7 linked regions of the Bombyx mori genome follow. The protein of the gene in region 1 binds, or shares a complex with, the protein of each later gene. Links are inferred from orthologs where the notes say so. Each region holds a gene or a part of one and is shown in the gene's direction. Other genes may lie near its edges.

Region 1 (3,500 bases):
GGTAGATTCTGCGAAGCACTGCTCTTGCTAGAGCCAGTGTTAGCAACACTCCGGTTTGAACCCCGTGAGCTCACCTACACATTAGAGTGAAGCTGAAATAGCCTCTCAAGGTTCAGCATAGGTAGGAAAAAAAAGTTTTTTTTTTATTGCTTAGATGGATGGACGATCTCACAGCCCACCTGGTGTTAAGTGGTTACTGGAGCCCATAGACATCTACAACGTAAATGCGCCACCCACCTCGAGATATAAGTTCTAAGATCTCAGTATATGTAGTTACAACAGCTACCCCACCCTTCGAACCGAAACGCATTACTGCTTCACGACGGAAATAGGCGGGGTGGAGGTACCTACCCGTGCGGACTCCCAAGAGGTCCTACCACCAGTGATTACGCAAATTATAATTTTGCGGGTTTGATTTTTATTACACGATGTTATTCCTTCACCGTGGAAGTCAATCGTGAACATTTGTTGAGTACGTATTTCATTAGAAAAATTGTTACCCGCCTGCGGGACTCGGAACACCGGTGCATCGCTACATACAAATGCACCGGACGTCTTATCCTTTAGGCCACAACGACTTCAAATATATTATATCATCATTACACTAAAAACAAGTCCTTTTTATAAATAATTCAAATGTTTTTTTTAAAAATCAATTACAATTGAATTACACTGCTTCTTAGGTTTTCGCCAATTTGACGTGACTAAACTAAGCCTTGATGAATATGTATTTGCGAAAGCTTTCATTCCATAGCGAACCTAACGAGTCCTAATTTAGAGATTATAATCGTAACAGCAACAACAACTACAACAGCAGCAACAGCAACAGCAAGCGCCAGCGACAGCCCACGAGGCGTTAGTCGCGGCCGTGTTCAACTGCTGTGTGTTCGGCGACGAAAGGGATCAAGTTTTAGCGAAGTGGAATTTGATTCAAGCTCAATGGGGTACAGGTATGCGTGACCAGTATAAACTTGACACTCGATGCTGATTAATAAAAATAAAATAACTACAATAAACTTATCGAGGGGTGAAAGGCTATTTGATTTAAGCGACGTTACGCTTAATACGCGACAGTTATATTTGTAATTAAAGGTGCGTTTTATTTTGGTACTAGGGACCCGCCCTCGCTTCGCTTCGGAAACATTAAATTTTATTATTGATAGTTGAGTACACGCGGTTATTGTCGTAACGCGGGTGACGCCGCGGGGCGAAGCTAGTCTAAAAAAAGTAGCCTAAGTTACTCCTTATATCATCAGCTACCTATCAGTGAAAATCTCGTCAAAATCAGTCTAGCCGTTCCAGAGATTAGCCGGAACAAACAGACAGACAGACAGACAAAAACTGTAAAAAATGTATATTGGTGTATGTATCATATATATATATATATATATGCATGTAGTTAAAAGAGGCTATTTCAATATTACAAACAAACACTCCAATTTTATTTATATGTATAGATTAACATCAACAGTTCGATGTTTAATTTAACCTCAATTAAGTTTACTCATTGAAATAGCCGAATAAGTTTTTTTATTATGATATTTCTCCAAATTTTAAACGTTAAATGGCTCTTCTGTAAAGTTGCAAAAATGTCGCTTAAACAAAATAACCTTTGACCCTTCGATGTCGTGTATGGTGACATTTGACTACATACAAAGAAGGGCCGTTCGGATTATTGATAATCCCATTCTCACGGGTCGTATGTAACCTCTGCGGAGAGACCTTAGTTCCCTCTGTATTTTGTACCGTATGTTCCATGGGGAGCACTCCGAGGAATTATTTGAGATGATCCCATCATCTTGTTTTTACAATCGCAGGCGAAAGATGAAATTAGAATTTATTGATGAACTTATAATGAAAAGTTGCTCAGAATTTCTATAAACTCGTAATATCATAGTTACATAAGATCATCGCCGCCATACTAGTTAATGCTAGACGCAGTAATTCCAGTAATGAGTTTGCTTGGTAGTAAAAAGGGCATTATGGAATCTATATATTAATACGTGAAGCAAAAACTTTGTATCCCTTTTTACGAAAATTGCGCGGACGGAGGACTATGAAATTTTCCACACTTATAGAGAATATAGAGAAGAAGTGCACATTGCTAATTTTTTTTTTAAATAATGCATAAAAGATACATTAAATCAATAAAGCAAACATTACACACACTACATACCATGTATTTGACGCACACACGCATGCATACTATTTATTGTCAATCTTTTGTTCTTGACGTCTGTTGTCAAATTGAGATTAAAATTTTGTTTTTCTTTGTTAATATTTTTTTATAGTGTAGTCTTGGCGAATTTTGTGATTATAGAAGTATAAAATACAATCATAATAGTGTACAAACTTACAATTCCAATTAATTATAGTCGAATTTCGACTACTGCGGGACTTCTAGTTATAACAAAATTCCTTTGGCAGTTCCTGTGGTACGTAAGATTCGAACACAGAGCAGCAAGGTTTCTCCATTTACTTAAAAATTTTCTCTTGCACATTGTTATTTGAACTATAAATTCTATAGATATTATATTATTACTATAGACTATAATTTTTTTTTTTTTTAATTACATTAATTTGTTAAATATTGAATATTTAGATTTAAATTCAGAAACAGATTCAAACAGTCAACTTTTATAATGTATGTATGTAAGTATGATTTTTTTCTCGTTTAGGTCAAGCGTACTATAGTCGAAACCATCCGCCTTTGACGTTGACAGAGCAAAATCCGCTCTGTCGTTTTAAAGCAGTTGGCTACTCAAAGCTCTGTGAGAAGGAAGATAAGGATGGACATGTTGCTATGATTTTTAACAAAAGCGAACAAGAAATTAAGTAAGAACTTTATTTTATTTCTGTTTAAGACAACCAGTGTTTTCGGAAATATACTATAAGTATTAAAGTTGTTCTTACGATTGCAAAATTATATTTTTCTTTCTTTTCATTTGGGATCATAAAAACTGATGACATGAAAACTACATGAAATAAAATTATTTTGCATCTAACTTAGATTTTGATGTGACATAATAGATTTACATACAGCCGCGGCAAATTTATTCATTCATTCAAAACTCGCATTAACAAAACCAGTTATTAAGCAACTTTTAGTAAATTTTTTGTTACTCATGTTTGTGGATGAGCTTATCTGGCCCACCTGGTGTAACGTAGTTACCGGATCCCATAGACACACAACATAAATGCCGTCACCCACATTGAGACATGAGTCTCAGGCTTACAGTACAACTACTGCTCATCATCATTCGAACTGAAACGCATTACTGCTTTGCAGCCGAAATAGGCAGGGTGGTAGTACCGGCCAGTGCGATCTCACAAAACGCCCTACAAACCAATAAAGTACTCTTAAACATTATTTTAAAATGTGTCTTCTGATTCTCTAATCTAAATTTTATTTCAGGAATAACCAACAAGGTTTAATTACATCACTACAAGGCTTACTAGGGAACAAACCGAACTTAGCTGTCAATGTTGATTCTGTCAAA
Region 2 (4,236 bases), on another chromosome or scaffold:
TTTTTTTTATTTTCTCTTCTTGTACTTTAGGGGTGACGGGGGTCTGATCCTTCGCTTGCGTTTTTTTCTTCTGTGATATAAATAAGAATAAGTACACTGGTTTTTTATAACCTAGTCTCAAATATATAATGTTATTAATACTACCTTTATAGTTTTTTGCAATCCTTTAATGGATTTGATAAACTTTTTTTGTTTGCTAGAATCCAACGCAACGTTTTCTTCCATTTTATTTCGTAATTTAAAATGTGATTTAAGCAAAAACTTAGAAGTGTAAATAAAGAACAACAAAGTCTTCTTTTTTAATTTTTAGGGATTTTATGACCTGGTAAGTAGGACCTTTAAGTCAAGTCTTATTTTTATTTTTATGAAAAGTGGTATGAAATGAAGGAAGCTGATTAATATAAAACAATGCACGAAATGTCATAAAATGAAAATGAAAATGAAAACGAAGTGAGACGAGACGAGACGAGATGAAACGGGACGAACGAGCACTTTCACAGATACTAAATAGTTAATAAACCACCGTTATTACACATTTAAACCTGAAGAAACACTTAATAGACAAAAATTTAATAAAACAAATCTCACAACTTCACTCTTCGCATTCCCGCCAAAAAGTCCCAAGCCTTCTCGTGTATTAAGTGCACAGATTGATGTTCGTTTTAATATGTATCGTTTGCGTCAGATAGGTGTAGGCATTACATATTATCTATTTTTTAGCTGCAAATACGGTACATCAATTTAATATAAAAATAGATTCCCTTTGGCTATCTGGTAGAAATAACAAACTCTCGTGTAACAGACACAAAAAGCTCAAGACCTTTAGGCGGGATCGTGAGAAAAGGATTAATGTGACTTGTTACATTTTGTTCATTTACTTTATGCTTAAACGTATAAAACAGTGGTTCACTAGCTTTTTCGCACCTGTGTTAATGCTTAAGGCTATGTTCCGATGTACACTGGGAGCACTGTAAAATATAATGTAAAATTAGTATACTGCGAAGCCATTCCTTTAATAGCTGCACTGGTTACTTTTTTAAATGGAACACAGTACAGTATAAGGGTGAGACCGATATATTAGTATTCATTAAGATATTCGTAATACAGCTTGGGAATTTTTAAATGCATTACTTTTTAATGTTTGAACCTTCATTTCTTGATTCCTTGAAGTCAAATTCCTAGATACAATATACTATTTATATTATTAATAACTAATGTGTATTATCTATGATTATTAACTTATTTCACGAATACCGTATTAGGTTTAACTCGTTTACCCGTTTTATCAAAGTATATTAAGATATCAGGATATTCACGTATTAGTTAAGGTATTATAATATTACATAACGAATATATTTGTATATTGACAAATATCAGTATTAACCCATCGTTAGTACAGTATGATGCCTGCAATTTGTGTCTCAAACAAAAAAAAATGTATGGTTGCCGCTGTTATAATTCACTTCATCTAAAAAAATAAATAAACATTTGATTTCACTTAATTACATTCCATTTCACATAATAAGTATAGTCTTGGCCTTCCAAATGCTTTAGCGGTATAGACTTCTTTCCGTGTGCCTATCCAAGGAATGAAAAACTTATCCTTTCTCCAGTTGAGCTGTGGAAAGTGGAAATGACATATAAAGAAAACAAAATTTCAATGTTTTCATGAGACCGATTTTGCGCTAATAAACTCTGATTCTTTGATAAATATCAATCATGAAATGTCGATTGACGAAATTATAGGAAAAACTACATTCTTGTAATTTTGTATATTAAAATTAGTCATTCAAAGTTAAAAATCCAGTAATACCTAACCACAATGTCGATGATAACTGGCACTCTTAATCAATACATACAATGTGTGGAACGTATGTACAGAACGGGACAAGGTAACATATTGTCTAGACTGTTGTCTCTAAGAGATGAACATGTCTACAATAGGAATCTATTATCTAGCGATATTGCAACCCTTGTCACAGGAAATTGTGTTGCTCCATTAGATGAACTTGTAATTGCACACTTATCATGTCTTAAGGTGAGATATATGAATTTAATTCTGGTTTTAAATTGATAAATATAGATTAAAAAATAGTAAATGTACCATTATTAATCTGGCCGTTACTACAGCGAACATTACCTGTTAAGTGTATTTTAAATATATCGTTTTATTAGCTTCTCGTCAAATACTTTTACTGGTGGCAAGACCTCTTGAGTCAGTAGTAGTCAGAAGCAGTAATGCATTTCGGTCAGAGACTGAGACCTTAGAACTTATATTTCAATATGGGTGGCGCATTTACGTTGTAGATATCTATGGGCTCCAGTAACCACTTAACACCAGGTGGGCTGTAAGCTCATCCACCGATCTAAGCAATAAAAAAAAATGCTTTGCATTCCAGGCATTATATGCAAGTGATTACATTGAGGCATACGATCATCAGAGTATATGTGTGGCCTCTGTCGTAAAGCTATTACAGGGACAGAAAGAAGAGAACTGGTGCCTTCCGGTTATGTATGCTGCATGTTTAGATCTTAGACTTGTTGCACAGAAAGCAGAGGCATCTAGCCGTAAGTATGAATTTGCATACATCATTCAAGAGCTAAGATAAGATGGTAATAGTATCAAGTGATTAGGGCATTAAGAATAAGATGCCTGGAGTACTCATATTGAAATCTTCAAATGCCAAGGAAAATAATGTGTCATAGAAATGAGATCTTATAGTATTTATGATGGTCGGTTGTGTTATAAGTTTGCACAACTAGGTATGTATTACCAAACTGCTTGTTTCTGTACTAAAGCAATCATGTATTCTAGCTTGAAGAATAGTGCAGCAATTACACTATACAATTCAGCCTTAAACTTCATCACTTAAGGCAGACTTCACAAAGTAACGTCTACAGACTCTAGTAACCACTCATCATCTGGTGGCTGTTTAAGTGCAGGTTCCCTTCTACTCAAGATTTGTCTCCTTAGTCTTGTTTGAAGAATGACTAACCCTAAGTGCTCAGTATATTCACAGGTGGTAGGATTCAACTCTGTTATGGTGGTACAATGTCGAAAAAACGAAATTATCTCAAATACTTGCATGAGTTGTTGTCTTAGTCAATATTGTGTTAAATAATCTGTATTCTGTACAATTAATTTCATTTGTCAATATTTCAGCTCAAAATGGCAGTAAAATTATGGAAAAAGCAGCAGAGAGCTTATTAGCTTGCTTCAGAGTCTGTGCTGCTGACAACAGAGCTTCAGATGTGGATACCAAAAAGATAGGCATGTTGTGTCTTGTAAACCAACTTCTTAAAGTATATTTCAGGATAAACAAGCTCCACCTTTGCAAACCATTGATTAGAGCCATTGATTCTTCACCATTCAAAGATCAATTCCCACTGGCCCAACAAATTACATACAGATATTTTGTGGGTCGTAAAGCCATGTTTGACTCAGACTATCGTCTAGCTGATGAATACTTATCGTTTGCTTTTGAAAATTGTCACAGAAGAAGCATACGAAATAAAAGGCTCATTCTAACTTATTTAGTTCCTGTGAAAATGCTGTTGGGTTTCATGCCCGCAAAATATTTACTAGAGAAATATGATTTGCTACAATTCTGGGATCTAATATCAGCTGTGAAAAATGGAGATTTGCGTGGTATCGATATGGTTATGGAGGAACATGAAAAGTTCTTCATAACGGCTGGTATTTATTTGATTGTAGAAAAATTAAAGATTACAGCATACAGAAATTTGTTTAGGAAAGTATATTTAGCGGAGAATTCACATCAGATAGACATAGCCAGCTTCGAGGCAGCATTACAAATCATGGGACAGGAAGATGTTGATTCAGATGAAACTCAATGTATTGTTGCAAATCTCATATATGATGGAAAAATCAAAGGATACATCTCATACCAACACAAGAAAGTGGTTGTCAGTAAACAAAATGCTTTTCCTCCATTATCTAGTCTGTATTAAATTTATACCATTTAAATAATACCTAGGGGAATACACACTTAATTTTTTGATTGTTTTAATAAAAATTAAGATTCCATTAGCATAAAGGCTGATTAAGTGAAATGTGATGATGAGCAATTGTATATCTGACGCAATTTCACTATTTAAATACTTTCTTTTTGATTACATATAATATCCATAAAAATACACAAAACAGTTCAGTAGTCCAGTTTTTTTATTTTAGTAGCACTAATGTGTTTAGGGTTGTCATTAAATAAAATAGAA
Region 3 (4,139 bases), on another chromosome or scaffold:
ACAGGTCATCCGGTCAGCGACATTACTTATTAAATAAAAATGCAAAGTCATCAAATGTTCACGTACCTTTATACCTTGTAAATACTGGAAGGATTTAATTTCAGGGTAAATATAAACTTAAAAACTTTTTTTATTATAGGGGATAAACGTTTCACAATGAATCACGAGCGTCAAACTACGAAAACAAACAAAAACGTCAACTGTCAATGCATACCTTTTTAAAATATGTTTACGGCTATCATACTCGACTTTTTAGTTATCTTGGGTTAAAGTTTGTCTAGCACTGTTGGCCGTATGTTCGTGTATTTAAAGTTTGTAAGAAACTTTTCGGCGGGGAGGCAAGGTAACTGTATGGATTATTTTATTTTGTTAATTTAGTGTTGCTTCTAGTTTAAACGTATAATCATGGTAGATTATCAATCGTTTAGCATCTGTGAAAGTGCAGAAGTTGAAACCCGAAGTACAAAAGTCGAACGCGAACGAAATTACATGTAGATTTCAGTAAATTTCATTATTGGGTATCACTGTTCTGTCTGTTTCTAAAGCATAACAGTTAGAAAGCGTTCCGCTATGAAAGGTGGACTACATAGTCTATACAATACAAATGAGTCTTTGATTTTATGTTTTGTGATCGGTGGCAATATTAACGTAGTGCTCGGTGCGACACGATAATCTATTTAATGTGACCGCTGCTTATTACATATCCGACTCAAAGGACGAGGCAACGTAAAATTACATCGCGAAACATGACCTATCCGATCCTTTCACTCACGGTTACTTTCTTCATCAATCACGTCAATTGCGACGAAGTTTTCGATGATCGAATTAACTCATAGACACAACCCACTGCGTTTCTGGCCGGATATTCTCAATGAGTCGTGATTCTGATCGGGTAATAGATTTTGCAGCGGCACTGTTCTTGCTAGGGCTAGTGTTAGCAAATTTTCTCAGGTTGAATTTCTGAGCTCATCTACTTGTTTGCGCGTAGCTGAAATAGCCCCTTAGACACCAGCGAATAGACAACGAATTATAAAAAATAACAGGTGCGTATTGCTCGTCAACTTATCTAAATCTAATAGGAAGGAATGAAACCAAATTGAATCATCTGAAATTGCAATGAGATGAGATGAGGTGACGTCGAAATAGAATTGTGTGCGTATTTTTGAAAAAGATACCGCTAAGCCATGTCCTGCGATTTTGTTTTATTTTCTCACACCTGCCCATATACACATGCTAAAAGATTACTAACCCACTATTATTACGCATTTGACCAAAAAGAATAATTGGCTGTATGGATTTTGTTTCCTTTGCTTTCACCTTGTTCTATGTGTGAAACAAATAAAAAAATCAGCGCATTTGAAACGGCGGTTTCTGATCAATTCTGTTTCGCATTCAAATGTTTACAAAATTTTATGTGAAATTGCATTGTGTACATGAAAGATTTAATACAAAATGAATATAACGACTTTTTCTAACAATAATGTTCGTGGCGATGATAGTAGTCCTATTATTCGAGCTAAAACATTTGTAAGTAATTAACATGATTCAACGAATATATAGGTTATGTTTGAGTTAAGTTATTTTTTTTGTTTCTTACAGAATATACCAGAAAAATGTTTCAATAAGGGCGTAGGATGTGCGTGGAGGAGTGGTAACAAGTTTTCTATCTACCCACGCAGTCAAACTGTTTCGAAAACACCAAAAAATGATGTCGAAAACAAAATACTCAATATACGTCACGAGATTGTATTATTTCATCCGATTTTACGAAAACTGGTAAACGAATCCAATGGTACATATTTATCTCTGCAGAAACTCGTCGATTCTTCAAAAAATAATGACAATCACGTGGAATTATTAAAACTTTCACGACAATATCGTTCTATTATAAGAGTGTGCATTGAAAACTTGCAAGAAGCCCTTAATGATGCGAAAGACGGCAGCGACATGATCAATTTACAATCATACATTACAATATTTTATTCTGTTGAATGTATTTGGCATTTATGTGAGATCCTTTACATAGATAAGATTCCCGGAGACATTGTGTTGCCATACCTCCTAGAATGGGTTCGATTCCATTTTCCGTGCCATGAGCAGACTGCAGCGCAGTTGCTGGAGGCCTGTGAGCGAGGTTCAGAAGACCACGATGACTATTGGGATACTGTGATTGGCATGGTTGTGCAAGGGCGAGTAGATGTCGCCCGAGCTCTACTGAAATTAAATTCATTATCAGAAACAAATGAATTTAAGCTTGTTGATAATTCATTACGGAGTATGCCTGTTTATAGTGTGAGTATAAAAATGAAATATAATTTCTAAAGTCAAATTATCATTTAAATTCCTCACAAATAAAGGGAACAATTGATTTTCATTAAGTATTCCACAGTATAAATTAATTAAGAGCAAAAATTATACTTTGGATAGTTAAGAGACAATTTATCTGAACAATTCCATCACCATTTAGAGATGTTTGGAACATGCTAATAAGATATTTTATATGAATGTTTTTTCTTTATGAATGAAAGATTACTGGTGGCCCGGAGGCCTTTCCAGTTTCACCAGGACAGGTGGGCGAGTAAAGGCTCAGCCATATATGAACTTTACTCTTGTCTTATTAGATTTTTATGTCTAAACTACTGAATGACTGTTCACATGATATAGGTTATAGTCCACACATGTCAAACTTCAGCTGGAAAACTATTTTGGGAAAAACAATTAACACCATCAAAATTTATAAATTTATGTTATTATTAATTTATGTAACCATTGTGTCAGATCAAAGACTTCATTGTGGTTATGAAAAGTTGTATATTATTAAACAAATTTAACCTGGGATATCCTATAGCTAAAAGTTCGATCTTACCTCACATCTTGCCATAAACACTTTACATCTACATAACATGGATATAAAATTACAGATATATGGTGGTATATCAACTGGGGAGTTTACAGTAACTTGGAAGCATTGGCAGGCTGAATGCAGAGCTAAGGTTACTAGCAGAGTGTTGGCATCACAACCAAAACTTGAACTTATTATGAGAGTAAGTAAAGATGTGTGAATCAATTAAGTAACTGCATAAACTAGAAACTGTTCTTGTCCTCAAAATTCTTAGATTAAAGTGTATACCACCATCATCATCATTTACTACATTCAAAAAATTTGTAAAATTACCTATTTATCTATGCTAATTTCCCCGTTCTAAGCCAAATCAAATAGGAACATGGCAGATGCAAGCATACCTGTTGAATAACGGTAATAATAACAGCATAATATACAGCAAATAAGAACATTTAATTAATTTAATCAGTTAATCTATAACTTCAAAATAAATGAGTTATGATTTGAATATTGTGAAATGAATTTTTTTCTTAATTGAAAATGTTTTCAAGAATTATTTTTTTATATTATTAAGTGGTTCATTAATTAACACTAAGTCTTAAAATAGGCTTTAGGAAGATGAAGTGAGCTAATTAGGCTTATTTTTTATTATACTAAAACATTGTGTAATTCGTTTACTAATTTATACAATTTTGTCCCACAGTTAATCATAGGAGAATATTCAGCATTTGAGTCAATACGTAGCACATACACATCGTGGTTTGATATGTTGGGAGGCTACGTAATGTTCACAGCACCTTGGTCTAGGACTCATGAGTTGTCTGCTGCAGCATCGGCCTGTGCTGGAATGGGATCTATGCCCTCAGGCTCTAGGCTGGATAGGACTTTACGGGCATTGTTGGAAGGTGATATGCATCAAGTAAGTGACAGATGCCAGTAAGCTGGTAAAAAGATTAGTTAAATTTTTAATTAATTGGTACAGCCTGGCCATATACAAAGCACTGCGCAACCGGTGCAACCATTTGTGCAGAGATGCTAAAAGACTTTACTTTCACAAATCACTTGAAAATCGCAGCCCTGCTCATACTTGGAGATTCCTTAAATCTGTCGGCATTGGCAAAACTCCGGTCTCTTCTGTCAAGGATACTGACTTGTGCGCCCTCAATAAGCATTTTTCTCTCCCTCCTGTGTCACTCAGTGATTCGTCAAAGACGGCCACGTTGCTTAAGATTTCAAGTCTATCCGTACCCCGGATCCCTATTTTTGACTTAAGTCCAGTCTCGGTTGCTGATGTCCG
Region 4 (4,204 bases), on another chromosome or scaffold:
GGGCTCTGGAAACCACTTAATACTAATGTCAAACTTCAGCCTATTTCCTAAAACTTGGTTGAATACTCGACTTTTTCGCCTCCTACCGGGCGAGCCGCTAACTGTGATGCTGGTGTATACCTAGTTGTTTCTGCCGAGTCAGGCACCCTTGGGGTGGGCACGTATCTTGTTGCAGTGTTTATTGCGGTCTCTCACATTCCTAATCGTGGCCGCCGCTAATTATATATCCGACCCCTGTGTCGTTGCAACGCAAAACCGCCGTCGCTCAAAACACGTCTTGTCGAATCCCCTAAAGCTCACAGTAATTTTAGGCTCTTCAAGCACCGATCTCCGTCCTCGTCAAAGTAGTCCATTACGCCGAAGACTTTTACGTGCGAACTAGCCCATAGACACAACCCACTGAGTTTCTCGACGGATCTTCTTAGTGGGTCGCGATTCCGATCCGGTGGTAGACTCAACGAAGCATTGCTGTGGCTTGGGACAATGTTACCGATTTTTTTTGCGCCCGTGAGTATCTGGAATAGCCGCTTAAGCTACCAACGATTAGGTAGGGAAATAAATAAAACAACACTCCTACCTCCTTCGGGTTCAGAGGTCGTCGTGGACATCTTGTAGAAAACTCGCTTACCAAAAGAAAATGATGAACTGTTAGAAATCGTCATGAAAAAAGTAATACATAACTTAACAAAATATAACGTTTTGCATCACGTTCCCGCCATAAAATTTGTGCAGGTAAACAGTACGTAACAGATTATGATTAATACTTGTTTAAATTAGTCAAATAACTTTTTTTAAGATTTTCCTCTCATCTACAGCCAATTTAACGGTATGCAGCGGCTTGGCTCTGCTCCTGGCATTGCTGAAGTCCATGGGTGACGGTAATCACTTACCATCAGGTGGGCCGTATGCTGGTCTGCCTACACGGGCAATAAAAAAAATCTGAAAAGTGTTATTTTAAAAAACCTCGAATTTAGTGATTAATAAAGTTCTTGTAACCAACATATTCACATTGATGTTCAAACAAAAATTTGGAATTGTATTAAATTAGATGGAATGCAAGCGACACAATCATACTATTTTGTAAATAAGTGTTAATATTTTTTTAAAGATTACATATTTGAAAAAATTGTCAAATCGAATGTGGAGATCAAAAATACGTCAGTAAGCTTCGTTGTCATAAAGCCCTTTGAACTGCACTAAGCCCACAACATGCGTTCTAATTCGCTCAAGCACACTAAACGTCATTATATTATAACGAAAAAGTGCACTACATACCAAATTATCAAATTGTTAGAGCATTCAACGAATACCTTTCGTGTAGCACGCCCTCTTTTTTCAAGGGATTTTACGACCTGGTAACTAGGACCTTTAAGTCAAGTCTTTTTAACTCACAGATTAGACCTAGTCAACTGCAAATACTTCAATTTACTACCTATTAGGCTATTACATATTTTGATAGTTCTATGATTCAAAACGATATGAATTGACTGCCAATTGTGCTACAAATTAATACTCTTCGAATTTTGTATCCTTAATCAATAAATTACCGATGTATTGAACGCAGGCTTGTAGCGCGTATTTTGATAAAGATATTGAGGTATTCTTTGTGAGGTAGCTGTAGGTAGAACTTTGAAACCGACTGCAGCATGGAATCAAAGTATGGACCAAATTCTATTGATGAACCGGTAGGTTTTTAATTTTATTTCTAAAGATTTAAATTATAAATATTGTTTTACTTCAGACAGGATAACTAGTGCCTATTAATAAATGAATTGAAAAAAAAACCGAAATCAACGTTACACAACAAAGCTTAGAAGAAAATGTTATAATTAAAACTGGCCCATGAATATTAGGATATAAAAATAAGCTCTCATTTCATTTAAAAGCTTCCTTTAATAGATCATAATTTGAAATGAATGGCTATAAATTTCATAGCATCCAATACAATACAAATTCCAAACAAAAATAATAACAAATCCAAATAATCTCTTTTTTTAGAATTTGTTGTATAAATTGCAACACAAGACAAAAGTATTTAACACAACAGAAAAATTGTCAAATCGGGGTTACAATTTGGTGGCCTGTAGCAGCAAATATGGCATTGTTTTCATTGCTGCTCCTGATGGGACACTTTCAGGTAAATAAAAAAATATATATAAAAAAAATTAATTGAATGACATAAAACTTAAAATACATTATGTTGATCACAATAAATTTGGGTATAAAAAAAATGTTTTCCGAGTGTACATATGGGTTCAATATATAAATTGTGAAACTGAAATTAAGTAAAAGTCACTTAAATACCCTAAAGTTAGTAAAACAACTTTTAACCAAAAAATAGCAACACTTTCAATATTCAAATGAACTAGCTCAAGTAACATCTATTTTGAGTAAAGTCTATTTATAAATGTTTTAGTCTATTCCCTAAAACAACTGATATCTAATGAGACACAACATACAAATGTGAAGCTTCAAGAGTGTGCTACGCATATTGCTGTTAGTTGCGATGATGAACTACTTGCAGTGGCTGGTTCGCAATCTCTTTCCGTGTTTAAAGTCACAGACTTTCAGAATCAGGTAATACACCTAATGTATTTATTAAGATAATTGAATTAATAATTAGGAAATATAATACAGTATTAGTAATCCTCCTTATAAAACAGTACTCTTTTAATGCATTTTCATATTATGCAATATCTATCCCCTCTTTTATGCATTTATACTTCATATTCCAGGATTATGTTAACAAGCTGTCAATTTATTTGTTTCTAATGCTAACATGATGTCTCAAGGACCTAAGAGCAGACCTTAGTTTACTCATGAATAAATGTACAACACAATGAAAGAAAGGCTAACTAAATTGTAGTCAATTGAAATTGTTGCCACCTTCCAATTAGTTCTGACCTACGAATTCTTGTCTTGCTCAGTATTTGTCAGTATTTAGTAATTTAATTCTAAATATGTAGTTATATTTAAAGTAAATATCTATTGATTAAACGAAATACAGTACTCTAGAAGATTTGATCTCTCTTTATATAAATGGCTTCATCCTCTTATATTCATTCCACAGAATGTATCACCATCAATATTTATGAAGACCAATGTGAATCCATCAACATTTGTATCAGCATTACAATGGAACCCTTGCATACCGGACTCTTTAGCATTAGCATTCCAAGATGGTACCTTACTTGCCTGTCAAGTTACCACAAACCAGGTCAAGAAAGTACAAACAAAAGCGAGGTAAGTTTTGAATTGCTTTTATTAATGAACTATTTCACAACTGAAACAAAAATTATGACTATACATTAAAAGAAAATATATAATTGGAACTTATACCTAATGTGTATAGGCTCTGACAACAACTGAACACAAGGTCCAGACAGCGGGCTCTTATCCATCTGTGCAAAAGAAAGGGGAGCTTACAACAATACTAGCAGTTCTCTGCAAATCAACATTTCTCTTGTTCTGTATATTGACTGTATTTTAAAAAAAGTTTTATATCTACCAAACAATGACCTGCCACTCTATAAATTTAAAACAATTTTTAATTTAATATAATTATAATTCTCAAATTTATAAATGTTGATGGTGAGATTTTTATTATGCAATGCTATTCCTCTCTTGAGGATTTTTTTTTATTGCTTAGATGGGTGGACGAGCTCACAGCCGACCTGGTGCTTAGTGGTACTGGAGCCCATAGACATTTACAATGTAAATGTGATATCCACCTTGAGATATAAGTTCTGAAGTCTCAGTATAGCTACAATGGCTGCACCCCCTTCAAACCGAAACGCATTTCTGTTTCTAATAAAATATAAGCTATAAAAAAAAAAACCTGCCTGTGCGGACTCACAGGAGGGCCTACCACCAGTAAGCTTGTATTATTATATATTGATTGAATAGAACACATGCTTGAAATTTATATCTTTTAATACCTTCTTTTAGGATTTGTATAACTACACAGCTGTATCACTCAACACAAGTACACCATGCCTCTCATCCTTTACAACACAGACTCCAGATTTATAGTCGATTGGAGTGTTAATTTTGCAGCTTCCGCTCATGACTGGTTTTCTATCAATTTCTTTCACAGATGTATTTGTTGGAGTCCAAAAGGGAAACAGTTGGTGACAGGCAACAATGACGGGACACTGTGTCAGTACAAACCAGACTTGACTCTTGCAAAAACAATACCAGCTCC
Region 5 (3,500 bases), on another chromosome or scaffold:
TCTATTCCCCCTCCCCACGAGCGTTGAACGTTTACCGCAACCTTGAAGTCGCATTAGAAGTTTCACTTCAAAAACTAAAGACTATTCAATAATAAAGGTTCGTTCTTTACATGTATATATGCCGGATTGTGGGTGCTTTATTTTACAGTATCTGAAGATGAGAATGTGGAGCCGCGCGACGCCCCGCCCCACCCGACCGGGGTCAAGCTGACGAGGCCGGGCTACTACACCATCCCCTCCTTGGACGACATGATAAGTGAGAGAATTTCTCCCCCTATCTATCTATATAATTTTGTACTTTGGTAGGACCTCTTGTGAGTCCGCACGGGTAGGTACCAACCACCGCCCTGCCTATTTCTGCCGTGAAGCAGTAATGCGTTTCGGTCTGAAGGGTAGGGCAGCCGCTGTAACTATACTGAGATCTTAGAACTTATATCTCAAGGTGGGTGACGCATTTACGTTGTAGATGTCTATGGGCTCCAGTAACCACTTGACACCAGGTGGGCTGTGAGATCGTCCACTCATTAAACAAACAAAAAAAATTTGTCGCCAACAACTAATATTGAACGTTATCACAATTCTAAATGTTATTTTAGTTTTAAATTTAAATATCCTAATTAGTGTCAAGTATCTATGCTAAAGATTAAAATTTCATCTAAATTCTTGTCTAAAATCGAGAAATACCCACAAAACAAAGGAATAAATATATTTGTTCAGAAAATTGATGCTGTATGATACGATTGTTATGTTAATGTCGCATATGAGGTTGGGACTTTGACCTTAAAGCGGCTAACGACATTCGCTGTGTGATGTCCATGTGCCAATTAACTCGAAAGAATTAGTCGTCGAGTACGACGAAGAGTTTGATGTGTAATCTAACCCATAGACACAGTCAAATGAGTTTCTTGTCGGATCATCTCAGTGGATCGCGATAACGATCCGGTGGTAGATTCTGCGAAGCACTGTTCTTGCTAGGGCCGGTGTTAACAACGTCAACAGGCTAGAACCTCCGTGAGCTCACCTACCCGCAACGATTGAGTAGGGATTTTTCCTTAGGCAAAGAATAACAACGCTATAGAGAAAGCATTAAACAATAGCGACCATATGACCCTGATGCCTAATCCGAATTAATTTGTATTCGACCGGTTGGTCCGCTACTTTATTGTTTCATTTCGCTGACCATTGCGCGCTCGCTTACCGAACGCTCTCCATTACCGGGTCGGAGAATCGACGTTATTACATTCGTGTTATCGTTTCTAGACTACATGCGGCCGGACGGCACGTGTCCTGTTCCGCACCTGACGATCGGACGCAAGAACTACGGGAACGTGTACTACGACTCGGAGATCGACGTGGCCGGCCTCGACCTGGACGCCCTGGGTGAGCCTCTGCGCCCCCCTAACCCACCTTCCCCTACCCCGCTGGGACGCAGTCGACTGTGTGAAGTCGACGCCTGAAGGATGAGACGCCTGGTGCCCAAGACTTCCGACAGTCCTTATGAAATACGTACTTATCAAATGTTCACGAATGACTTCCACGGTGAAGGAATAAAGCATCGTCTAATAAAAATTACTAGTGGTCCCGCAGTAGTCGAGATTCGACTATAATTAACTGAAATTATAAGTTTGAACATTATTATGGTTCTATTGTCAAGGACTATTAAACTTCTATAATTACAGATTTCGCTAAGATTACACTGTAGATAAATAATATTAAAGACAAACAATATTAATCTATTCTCAATTTGATCACACACTTTAAACAATAACAAAAGTTTGACGATAAAGAAAGAGTTTATATATATATCTATGTGCAGTGTCAAATACATGGTAGTGTGTGTAATGATTTTATTGTTATTGATTTAATGTATTTTTTATATATTTTATAATAAAAAAAAAAACATTCTGCACTCCTTCTCTATATGAAATATAAGTGTAGGCATACTCCCCCGTCCGCGCAATTTTCGTAAAAAGAGGTACAAAGTTTTTGCTTCACCTATTAATATATAAATAAAAAAAAATACCCGCAAAAATTATAATTACTGATAGTAAGGCGTGCTGTGAGTACCGCACGGGTACGAAACCACCGCCCTGCCTATTTCTGCCGTGAAGCAGTAATGCGATCCAGTTCTAAGAGGCTGAGAACTCGTATCACGAAGTGGGTGACGATATTTATACTGTTAAGGTCCACGGGCTCCGCTAATAATTGTGTGAAATTTTCCAGTGCACTTCCTGAACAAGGAGGTGATAGTCTATCCGGAGGACAGCGACAAGCCGCCGGTCGGAGTCGGCCTGAACAGGCGGGCCATCGTGACCCTCGACCGGGTGTGGCCCCGGGACAAGACCGAGAAACGACTCATCACCGAGCCCGACAGGTGGGGGAGCTTGGCCGCGGAATACTTTTTAATTTAACTTTTTTTTTTATTGCTTATATGGGTGGACGAGCTCACAGTCCACCTGGTGTTAAATGGTTACTGGAGCCCATAGACATCTATAACGTAAATGCGCCACTCACCTTGAGATATAAGTTCTAAGGTCTCAGTGTAGTTACAACGCCTTCAAACCGAAACGCATTACTGCTTCACGGCAGAAATAGACAGGGTAGTGGTACCTACCCGTGCGGACTCACAAGAGGTCCGCATTGATGTATATCATACTAGCTCATCCCATTACATTTAATTTCATCACAAATGATTAGTCTTAAATTAATCAGGTTCATCTTATTTCACAATTGTACAAAGAAGTACAAATTAAAACTCCCGCTATTTGATAATAGATGGCGTTGCACTTCTCAAGCGTTCTCAATTTTACTAGTTCTTTTGATATTCGTTTCTGCTATTTGAAGACAGATGGTGTTACTCTTGCAGGCGTAACAATATTATAACAGAATGTAAGAAGTGAATATATAAAAAGATTTGCCTTAAATGTCTCGTTATCAGACCATAACAAATTCTGTAATAGAAAAAAAAAACAACGTTTTTATACTTCAATGTAATTTTGATTTGCATTTTTTTTTAATTATTATTTGCAGATTACTAAAACTGGATTACGAAGGGAAGCTGCGCAGGGTTTGCGAGAAACATGACACCAAGTTTATCGAGTATCGACCTCAAACGGGCAGCTGGGTGTTCAGGGTACGGACTCGTGTTTAATCACGTAAACAAAATATATGTATATACGTCCCTTCGAGTGCGAATGGTCGATAGATCGACTCTCTATTAATGCGTCTAAAATGCGGAGCGTCGAAATACCGACTGTTGCGCAGTTTCATCATATGTATCGACCTGTACAGACGTGTCTTAGCGCGGGCATGTACAATTATTTTGCTGGCTAAATATGTGAAAATAAGCTGAGCATTAAAATATACGCCAAAACAATGCTGCGACAATGATAAAGGTATGGAGGGACTATCTCTACCAATTCCTCTGAACACACTCATGGAGCAAGCAGTATAAAGCACAGAGAGGACCGTAGTCCCTCTGCCTGACCCAGGTACCCTTG
Region 6 (3,500 bases), on another chromosome or scaffold:
TTATTTTTCTTATATTATGACACGATGTAATTCTTTCATAGCGAAAACCCTTATACATATTTTTAAAAAATGTACCCGAGAGAGCATTTGAATCCGGACATGCTGCATTAATCAATACCAATACACCGGTTGTCTTACCCAGTACACCGTGGAGATCTCATAAAATGTAACGCTTGAATTTTTTTTTTTAAATATGTTAATGTAAACAATTTCACTGTTCAGGTGAAAAAATCGCCGTTCTTGAATCAGAAGTACTGGAAAAAACGGCCAAGTACGAAGATGCGGCAAAGAAGTTGATTACAGCAGATGAAACTGTAGAAGAACTAGGCAAGCAAGTCGAAACCTTGAAAGCTGAACTTGAAAAAGCTCATGATAAAATAACTCGATTAGAAAATGAAATTATATCTCTGAAAAGTGCTAGAGATTCAGCAGTTGATGAAAGAAATGACTTAACTCGTATTTTGCAAAGGCGTGATGCTGAAATAGAAAGATTGACGACTAATGATACTGCACTCTCGCAACAATTACGAGCAGCTATCGATGCAAAATGTGAAGCATTGGCACTCAACGACGAAATACAAAGCAAAGAATTGTCTTTACAATATCGTGAAAAACGAATAGAACAAGAAAGAACATTGTTAAATTCTCAAATTGCTGGCTTAACAGAAGAAGTTAACAGGCTCACTTCTGAACTGCAAACAGTTAGACTAAACAACACAAGTAGACTGGTGAGCTTGGAAACACAATTAGCTGAAAAGGTTGAAGAACTTAATGCAGCTAATGAAACCATAGTCCAATTAAATGAAATAAAAAAGAATTTAAACGCTCGTGCAGAAAGTCTAGCCCAGAGGCTGGTAGAACAGAGAGATATAGAGAACAAAATGACAGACAATTTTAAAAAGGAATTGGATGCAAAAACGAAGTTAGCAGATTTATTCAAAACAATGCATGATGATGCTGAATCTAAAACACACGAATTAACAGAAGGGATATCAGAATTACAAAAATTATTAAATGAAGCCACTGATAAATATGGAGAGTTAGAAACTAAATACAAGCAGGCAGAAGTAGATCATGAAGAAATGATGGAAAAGAAAAATGAAGTAATATCTTCTTTGAAAAACGAAATAGAACATGCGAATGATTTATTAAAAGCTGCTAATGCTCACAATCTTGACATGGCTTTGAGTGATTTAGCACCATCCGCTGCAACTGCAAGCAAATTATTAAAATCTGGAATGTCACTGACACAAATATATTCACAATTAGTAAAAGTGTCTGATGAATTAAACCAGGAAAAAGAAGAGAACAGAAGACTCAACATTACTATTAATACCATTGTACAAGAATTAGAAGAGAAAGCACCATTATTGCAAAAACAAAAAGCTGAATATGAAGAAGCTTTAGAGAGCAATGCGGCTTTGTCACAGCAAATCGATTCCTTGGTCATGGAGTGTAACCGGCTAAGAGATGATTATAATGAAACTTCAAAGATAGCTAATCACTACAATCGTGAAAATACAAAATTGAAGGGAGAGTTAGCTGACTTAGGTAGACAAGTTTGTTTCTTACTAAAGGAAATAGAACATGTTCGTGGTGGTCTTGTGCCTAATGGTGACCATGATTTATCAAATAATGCATCCAATATATCTAATTCGTCTGACATTAGCTCATCTAGAATAATATCGAAGACATTAGTCACTTTCACCGACATTCAAGAACTACAATCAAACAATCAAAAACTTTTACGTTTAGTACGAGATCTTACAGAAAAACAAGAAGAATTTGAACGTCACAAAGAACAGTTTGAAAGTGGTGAAATGCAAACCAAAATAGAATCATTGAAAAACAGGGTTACTGAATTAACTGAAGCTCAGGATCGTCAAACAAAAATGGTTAACGGACTAATTCGACAACGGGATATGTTTAAAAAACTATACCATGATCATATGAAAGGAAAGCGATGCGAAACTTCTGCTCTAGAAACTCTTGAGTTGGAAAAAAGTGGATCTTTTACAATGGATACATCATCCGAGGATATTAGTAAACCAATTGAAAAAGTTCCGTTTGAAATAAAATACAGAGAGGCCGAAAAGCATTTACAACTTCTAAAAGAAGAATTTAAAACGTATAAAGAAGAGAAAATCACTAATGAGAGGATGCTTTATGAACAAATTGACAACATGAGACAAGAAATTTCGAAACTGACTACAGCCAACAGTAAATGTGCTTCTACATCTGAATACAATAATGAACGATTAAAGATATTGCAAACTAATGTTGCTACATATAAGAAACAAATTGCCTCACTCGAAGATAAAAACAAGGCATATAATGCTACTATTGCAAAGCATGAAGTTTCTCTTCAACATCTGCGTGATGAAGCTCTAAACGCCCAAAGCAAATTAGCAGCTGCAGAAATACAATTGGAAAATTTGAAACTAGAATGTAAATTAATCAAAGATGCTGAAATACGTCTTCAAACTGAAAAAGAAGTATTAAATCGCGAAAGACAAGGTCAGTCATTGTTACTAAAAAATTTAGAACTAATTAAAGCCAGTCTTGAACGAGTTGAAGCCGAAAATCGAGCGAAAATAGAAACAAGATTGGATGAAGCTACTAGAGAATGTTCTGCTTTAAGACGCCGACTGCAAGAAGAACAAGATAGATTTAGAGAATTAGCAGCTCATCTTGAGCGACAAACTGAAATTGCTAAAACACGTATGCAGGAAGAAAAAGAAGCAGCAGATGTTTTGAGGAAGGAAATTACGGAAATGAGACAAGATTGCGTTGAAAAAAATAAAATCAATGAAGATTTGATGAAAAAATTGAAATTTGCACTTGCTCCTAATACAGATGGTTCTTTTGACACCGTCAAAAAAATAAAGGAATTAGAAAATAAATTAATAGATAAACAAAATGAAATTCAGTCACTAAAAGAACAACTGAATGTTGCTAAAGAACATATTAAACAATATTGTGACATCTCAGAAGGGGCAGAAAAAGAACTTAAAACACTGAACAAAGAATATCAGGCATATAAAACTGAGTCCGAAAACAAATTTTTAGATTACAATAGTAAAATACAGCAACTTCAAGAAAAATGTTCCGAATTAGAAGCTGAACTGTCGCTTCATGCTAATGGAGAACACTCGAATAGTAACATTGCTTTGAAAACAGAATTATCAAATGCTAAAGAAGAACTGAAAACTGCATTAGTAAATGTTGATAATTATCGTACGGAGCTCGACAAAGCTCGCGAAGAAGTATCTAAGTTGTCGAATGCAGTACAAAAAGCTGAAGAAAAATATACACATGAAATGATTCTTCATTCTACTGATATTCAAACATTGACTCAAGTAAAAGAAGAGTTGTCCAGAGCACAAAACCAACTTAATGAATTGGTAGCGTTCAATAATAGCACAATCGAAAAACTACAAACTGAAAAATCTTCTTGGTTAGAGAGACAGAAAATACTAACTAGTGAAAATGAACAGCTT
Region 7 (3,500 bases), about 5.0 Mb from region 1:
GATTGTTTAGCAGAGATTCCGAGCACAACACTGTAGGAGTGGGTAATATCGGTTTTGCCGCGTATCGAATCGTATCTATATATCGAGGATCAATATCGGATATTGAATCTATATATTTTCTGAATCTATATATTGATGGATGCTAGTAGATTTTCTCGATTCGCGATATTTGAGATTTGAAACGATACGCTGATATAATATCGTAGTAGATATAGATTTAAGTCAACGTTATACGGTTGGTTTTCTGATATCAATTTATAATATGATCTTAAAGTAATAAAAAGAACATGAAAATAAAAATATCAAAAAAACTTTCCTTCATGCTTTTACCAGGCTTAGGACTGGCTACATTATTTTCAGTTTTTAGTATTTTGTGTCTTAATTTAAAATTACAAAATATACCAAAAGAGTGTAGATTTCAAAAGTTTAATACAAACACAAGAAATAAACTCAATTATTTGGATTCAACTAAAAATAGAAAAATGTGTACTTTAAAAATCAAACACAAAAAACTTTTAAGTATTTATAAACACTTGTCCAAAAATTCTAGTTCAAGGTCAAAGCGCGTAAAATTAAATTTAAAGAATGAAAGTAGGCTATACTGCATTCAAGTTAGGGTCGAAAGTTGAAACTTCTTTCCTAAATTGTATCCTGCTGATACGCTAAGAATAATCTACAGACATATGGACTTAAATATAAGGTTTACAATTGTATGGATAATGCCTGTTTCTGTTTCATTCATCACATGATATCCCTATCGTGCGCTCACTCACTCTGGCTGATTCGATACGAACCAAACGAATATTGCTGATATTCACGAATCGGTACGATATGCCGATGCGCATCACATCGAGCAATATCGTGTATCGGCTGATATCGAAATATAGATTTCGATTCACGAATCGGTACGATATGGCGATGCGCATCACATCGAGCAATATCGTGTATCGGCTGATATCGAAATATAGATTTCGATTCACGAATCGGTACGATATGGCGATGCGCATCACATCGAGCAATATCGTGTATCGGCTGATATCGAAATATAGATTTCGATTCACGAATCGGTACGATATGGCGATGCGCATCACATCGAGCAATATCGTGTATCGGCTGATATCGAAATATAGATTTCGATTCACGAATCGGTACGATATGGCGATGCGCATCACATCGAGCAATATCGTGTATCGGCTGATATCGAAATATAGATTTCGATTCACGAATCGATACGATATGGCGATGCGCATCACATCGAGCAATATCGTGTATCGGCTGATATCGATATATAGATTTCGTGCGGGGCGATATCGGATTCAACGATATTGCTGCGATATATAGATATTGAATCTATACACGATTTATATCACCCACTCCTACAACACTGCATAGGTTACTTACTGCTGCTTTTTTATTGTTAGTAGCAGATTCTGTTTTCAGATAAAAAATTATATTGACCAAAATAAGGTAATTTTTTTCTTTTAAGTTCACTATCTCATATGAGCCGTGACCACTTATATGGGATAAAAAATACATCAAAATTATGTAGAATTAATGCAACAATATTTTTGGACAGGTCTTAGACTACGTAACGGAGGTGAACCGCCAGCGCAACCTCGCCGCCACGCTCACCCACTACTACGACTCGTGGCGTCAGCTCACAGAGATGCTGTTCTGTGTAGCTCCTCACGACATCCTCAACCTCGAAGCCAGGAAGAACTTGCTGCTCAATATCCTACAGGACCTACTCAACAAGATACCGCCCGACGAGGTCCTGCCGCAGCTCGGCAACCTGGCCTCGGGCACCGTACTGCTGCTGATGGTCAATCTGCGCCACTGCTACATCTTACAGAAGCGGGAATCGAACCTCGCGTCTTCGGAATTCGAGACTTCATTCTTCGGGCCGTCAAATCAGATCATGCAAACCAATTCGTTGACGTTAAAATTCATACTAAACAAAATATTGAGCTGGATACTGGTGTCAGGCGGGGCTAGTCAGAACATGCGGGTCAACCTGTACGGAGCCCTGCTCAACTACTTGAACATAGTGAACCTCAAGCCCAGTCCAGCGGAGCCCGAGCAAGAATTGAACGACACGTACGTCAGCAGGCTCGACAGTTCCAAAGCGAAGGAGAAGAGCGAAGATTCGTCTCTGAAGGCCATGGTGGTGGATGTGATCAGTGAATTCGGCGAGAACTTGTGTGCGATAGTGTGCGGCGACTGTATAAGTGCGGGGCAGGACGTGTGCAGGATGGTGGCGCTGGCCTGCCTGGAGACGCTCATTGAAATCAATCCTCGGACTGACTGGATGAATGTACTCATCAATCAAGGCTATTTGAGGAGTTTGATCGACAGTCTGCTGCAAGACGATGAAGGCCTAAAGGAGGTGAGTCTGATATTATATTTTTTGCATAACTTTATGTATGACTAGCTGTACCTGTCTGCTTCACTGGGCATTTAAAATTAACATTATTATTTCTCACCCCCACAAAGATTCTCATCATTAACACCTCCGCAACTGTTGTAGGGAGTCCAACACTCATATAAATATTAGCCTATCCATTAAGTACATGTATTTTCTACATGGATACCAAGTTTCAAGTCAATCGAATGCACGGTTCAGTAGTTATAACGGAACATCCGTAAAATCACTGTAGATTTATATATTAGTATAGATTCAGGTATCATAAACTTGTCTATGTTCAAAATTTTTTTTTATGGTTCTTGGTATGTTTAGGGAAACAAGCAATACGTCTTTAAATTTGTAAATGACTCTATTTATTTAAATGATTTTCTCTATTGAAATCTATATTCATCTATCTGTATTCTCTGACTTAAAGGCATTTTTTCATCATTCAGTGTCACACTTGGAAAGTTTAATTCAATTCTTTATTTCTCATGATGATATTGTATATATTAAAGGAGAAACCCCATTTTGGGCCTAAGCGTTACACGAATGGGATATATACCAAAAAATTCGTCTATTTTGCTTGATTAACCTATTGAAATCTTAGCTTCATTGACAATGGCCAAGTGTAGAAAATAAGTTGAATTCTATTTTTTGTTTTAAACAATCTTTGTAAACATCTGCAACACTTATTTCAATATACGTAACTAGCTCCACAAACGTACGGATTAGAATTAGAGCATCCATAAAATAGGATCGATTTAGTGGAAATCGAGTGTAAAAAATTATTAATACTCTTTTGCTTTAGGATAAAGGTATTTTAATCAATGTAAATAGAGTATGGCCATCGAATCGTGACACAACTACTTACAATGGCGGCAATTCAAAATATATACAACTGACAACATTAAATATAGCATGAAAGGGTAGTTTTGCATTTTTATATTAATGTGACTATGCCATAGAAAAATACAAATGTATCAAATCGTGTTATGTTATCTTTAATGTTGCCAACTGAAGATATTTTGGATTGCCGCTATTTAGTTGTGCCATGATTCGCTGGCCAGACTGTAAACTTAATCTCATTGAATAA

What was found.
Region 2: probable nucleoporin Nup54 (region 1) and PCI domain-containing protein 2 homolog share a complex: the UniProt entries of both Drosophila melanogaster proteins name them as parts of the nuclear pore complex. The link is inferred for Bombyx mori from reciprocal best matches to the Drosophila melanogaster genes Nup54 and PCID2.
Region 3: probable nucleoporin Nup54 (region 1) and nuclear pore complex protein Nup85 share a complex: the UniProt entries of both Drosophila melanogaster proteins name them as parts of the nuclear pore complex. The link is inferred for Bombyx mori from reciprocal best matches to the Drosophila melanogaster genes Nup54 and Nup75.
Region 4: probable nucleoporin Nup54 (region 1) and nuclear pore complex protein Nup214 share a complex: the UniProt entries of both Drosophila melanogaster proteins name them as parts of the nuclear pore complex. The link is inferred for Bombyx mori from reciprocal best matches to the Drosophila melanogaster genes Nup54 and Nup214.
Region 5: probable nucleoporin Nup54 (region 1) and nuclear pore complex protein Nup98-Nup96 share a complex: the UniProt entries of both Drosophila melanogaster proteins name them as parts of the nuclear pore complex. The link is inferred for Bombyx mori from reciprocal best matches to the Drosophila melanogaster genes Nup54 and Nup98-96.
Region 6: probable nucleoporin Nup54 (region 1) and nucleoprotein TPR share a complex: the UniProt entries of both Drosophila melanogaster proteins name them as parts of the nuclear pore complex. The link is inferred for Bombyx mori from reciprocal best matches to the Drosophila melanogaster genes Nup54 and Mgtor.
Region 7: probable nucleoporin Nup54 (region 1) and nuclear pore complex protein Nup205 share a complex: the UniProt entries of both Drosophila melanogaster proteins name them as parts of the nuclear pore complex. The link is inferred for Bombyx mori from reciprocal best matches to the Drosophila melanogaster genes Nup54 and Nup205.

The regions. Positions count from the first base shown.
Region 1 is NC_085121.1:5,997,377-6,000,876, forward strand, and holds part of probable nucleoporin Nup54, read left to right. Parts: intron 1-796; coding exon 797-950; intron 951-2,678; coding exon 2,679-2,835; intron 2,836-3,415; coding exon 3,416-3,500. UniProt on the Drosophila melanogaster protein: Component of the nuclear pore complex (NPC), a complex required for the trafficking across the nuclear envelope. Essential for the nuclear import of nuclear localization signal (NLS)-containing proteins in an importin alpha/importin beta-dependent manner.
Region 2 is NC_085115.1:3,910,084-3,914,319, reverse strand, and holds the start of PCI domain-containing protein 2 homolog, read left to right. Parts: upstream 1-1,436; 5' UTR 1,437-1,822; coding exon 1,823-2,038; intron 2,039-2,399; coding exon 2,400-2,568; intron 2,569-3,163; coding exon 3,164-3,972; 3' UTR 3,973-4,236. Other genes in the region: Nopp34 (nucleolar phosphoprotein), read right to left, coding at 1-70, 145-225. UniProt on the Drosophila melanogaster protein: Required for the export of nuclear mRNAs and involved in mRNA trafficking in the cytoplasm.
Region 3 is NC_085123.1:528,829-532,967, reverse strand, and holds the start of nuclear pore complex protein Nup85, read left to right. Parts: upstream 1-1,339; 5' UTR 1,340-1,452; coding exon 1,453-1,527; intron 1,528-1,599; coding exon 1,600-2,292; intron 2,293-2,921; coding exon 2,922-3,044; intron 3,045-3,545; coding exon 3,546-3,761; intron 3,762-4,139. UniProt on the Drosophila melanogaster protein: Component of the nuclear pore complex (NPC) that seems to be required for NPC assembly and maintenance. Required for nuclear import of phosphorylated Mad via importin msk.
Region 4 is NC_085123.1:8,954,961-8,959,164, reverse strand, and holds the start of nuclear pore complex protein Nup214, read left to right. Parts: upstream 1-1,404; 5' UTR 1,405-1,646; coding exon 1,647-1,685; intron 1,686-1,998; coding exon 1,999-2,137; intron 2,138-2,416; coding exon 2,417-2,577; intron 2,578-3,070; coding exon 3,071-3,243; intron 3,244-4,096; coding exon 4,097-4,204. UniProt on the Drosophila melanogaster protein: Part of the nuclear pore complex. Serves as a docking site in the receptor-mediated import of substrates across the nuclear pore complex including emb, RanGAP and phosphorylated Mad. Protects mbo/Nup88 from proteasomal degradation at the nuclear pore.
Region 5 is NC_085117.1:3,540,906-3,544,405, forward strand, and holds part of nuclear pore complex protein Nup98-Nup96, read left to right. Parts: intron 1-148; coding exon 149-256; intron 257-1,260; coding exon 1,261-1,380; intron 1,381-2,223; coding exon 2,224-2,374; intron 2,375-3,030; coding exon 3,031-3,133; intron 3,134-3,500. UniProt on the Drosophila melanogaster protein: Part of the nuclear pore complex (NPC). Required for MAD import as part of the Nup107-160 complex and required for nuclear export of Moe probably via its association with Rae1. Plays a role in nuclear mRNA export.
Region 6 is NC_085117.1:12,300,011-12,303,510, forward strand, and holds part of nucleoprotein TPR, read left to right. Parts: intron 1-222; coding exon 223-3,500. UniProt on the Drosophila melanogaster protein: Component of the nuclear pore complex (NPC), a complex required for the trafficking across the nuclear envelope. Functions as a scaffolding element in the nuclear phase of the NPC.
Region 7 is NC_085121.1:1,024,873-1,028,372, forward strand, and holds part of nuclear pore complex protein Nup205, read left to right. Parts: intron 1-1,576; coding exon 1,577-2,386; intron 2,387-3,500. UniProt on the Drosophila melanogaster protein: Plays a role in the nuclear pore complex (NPC) assembly and maintenance, but with limited role in NPC permeability. Required for specific nuclear import pathways such as Mad import.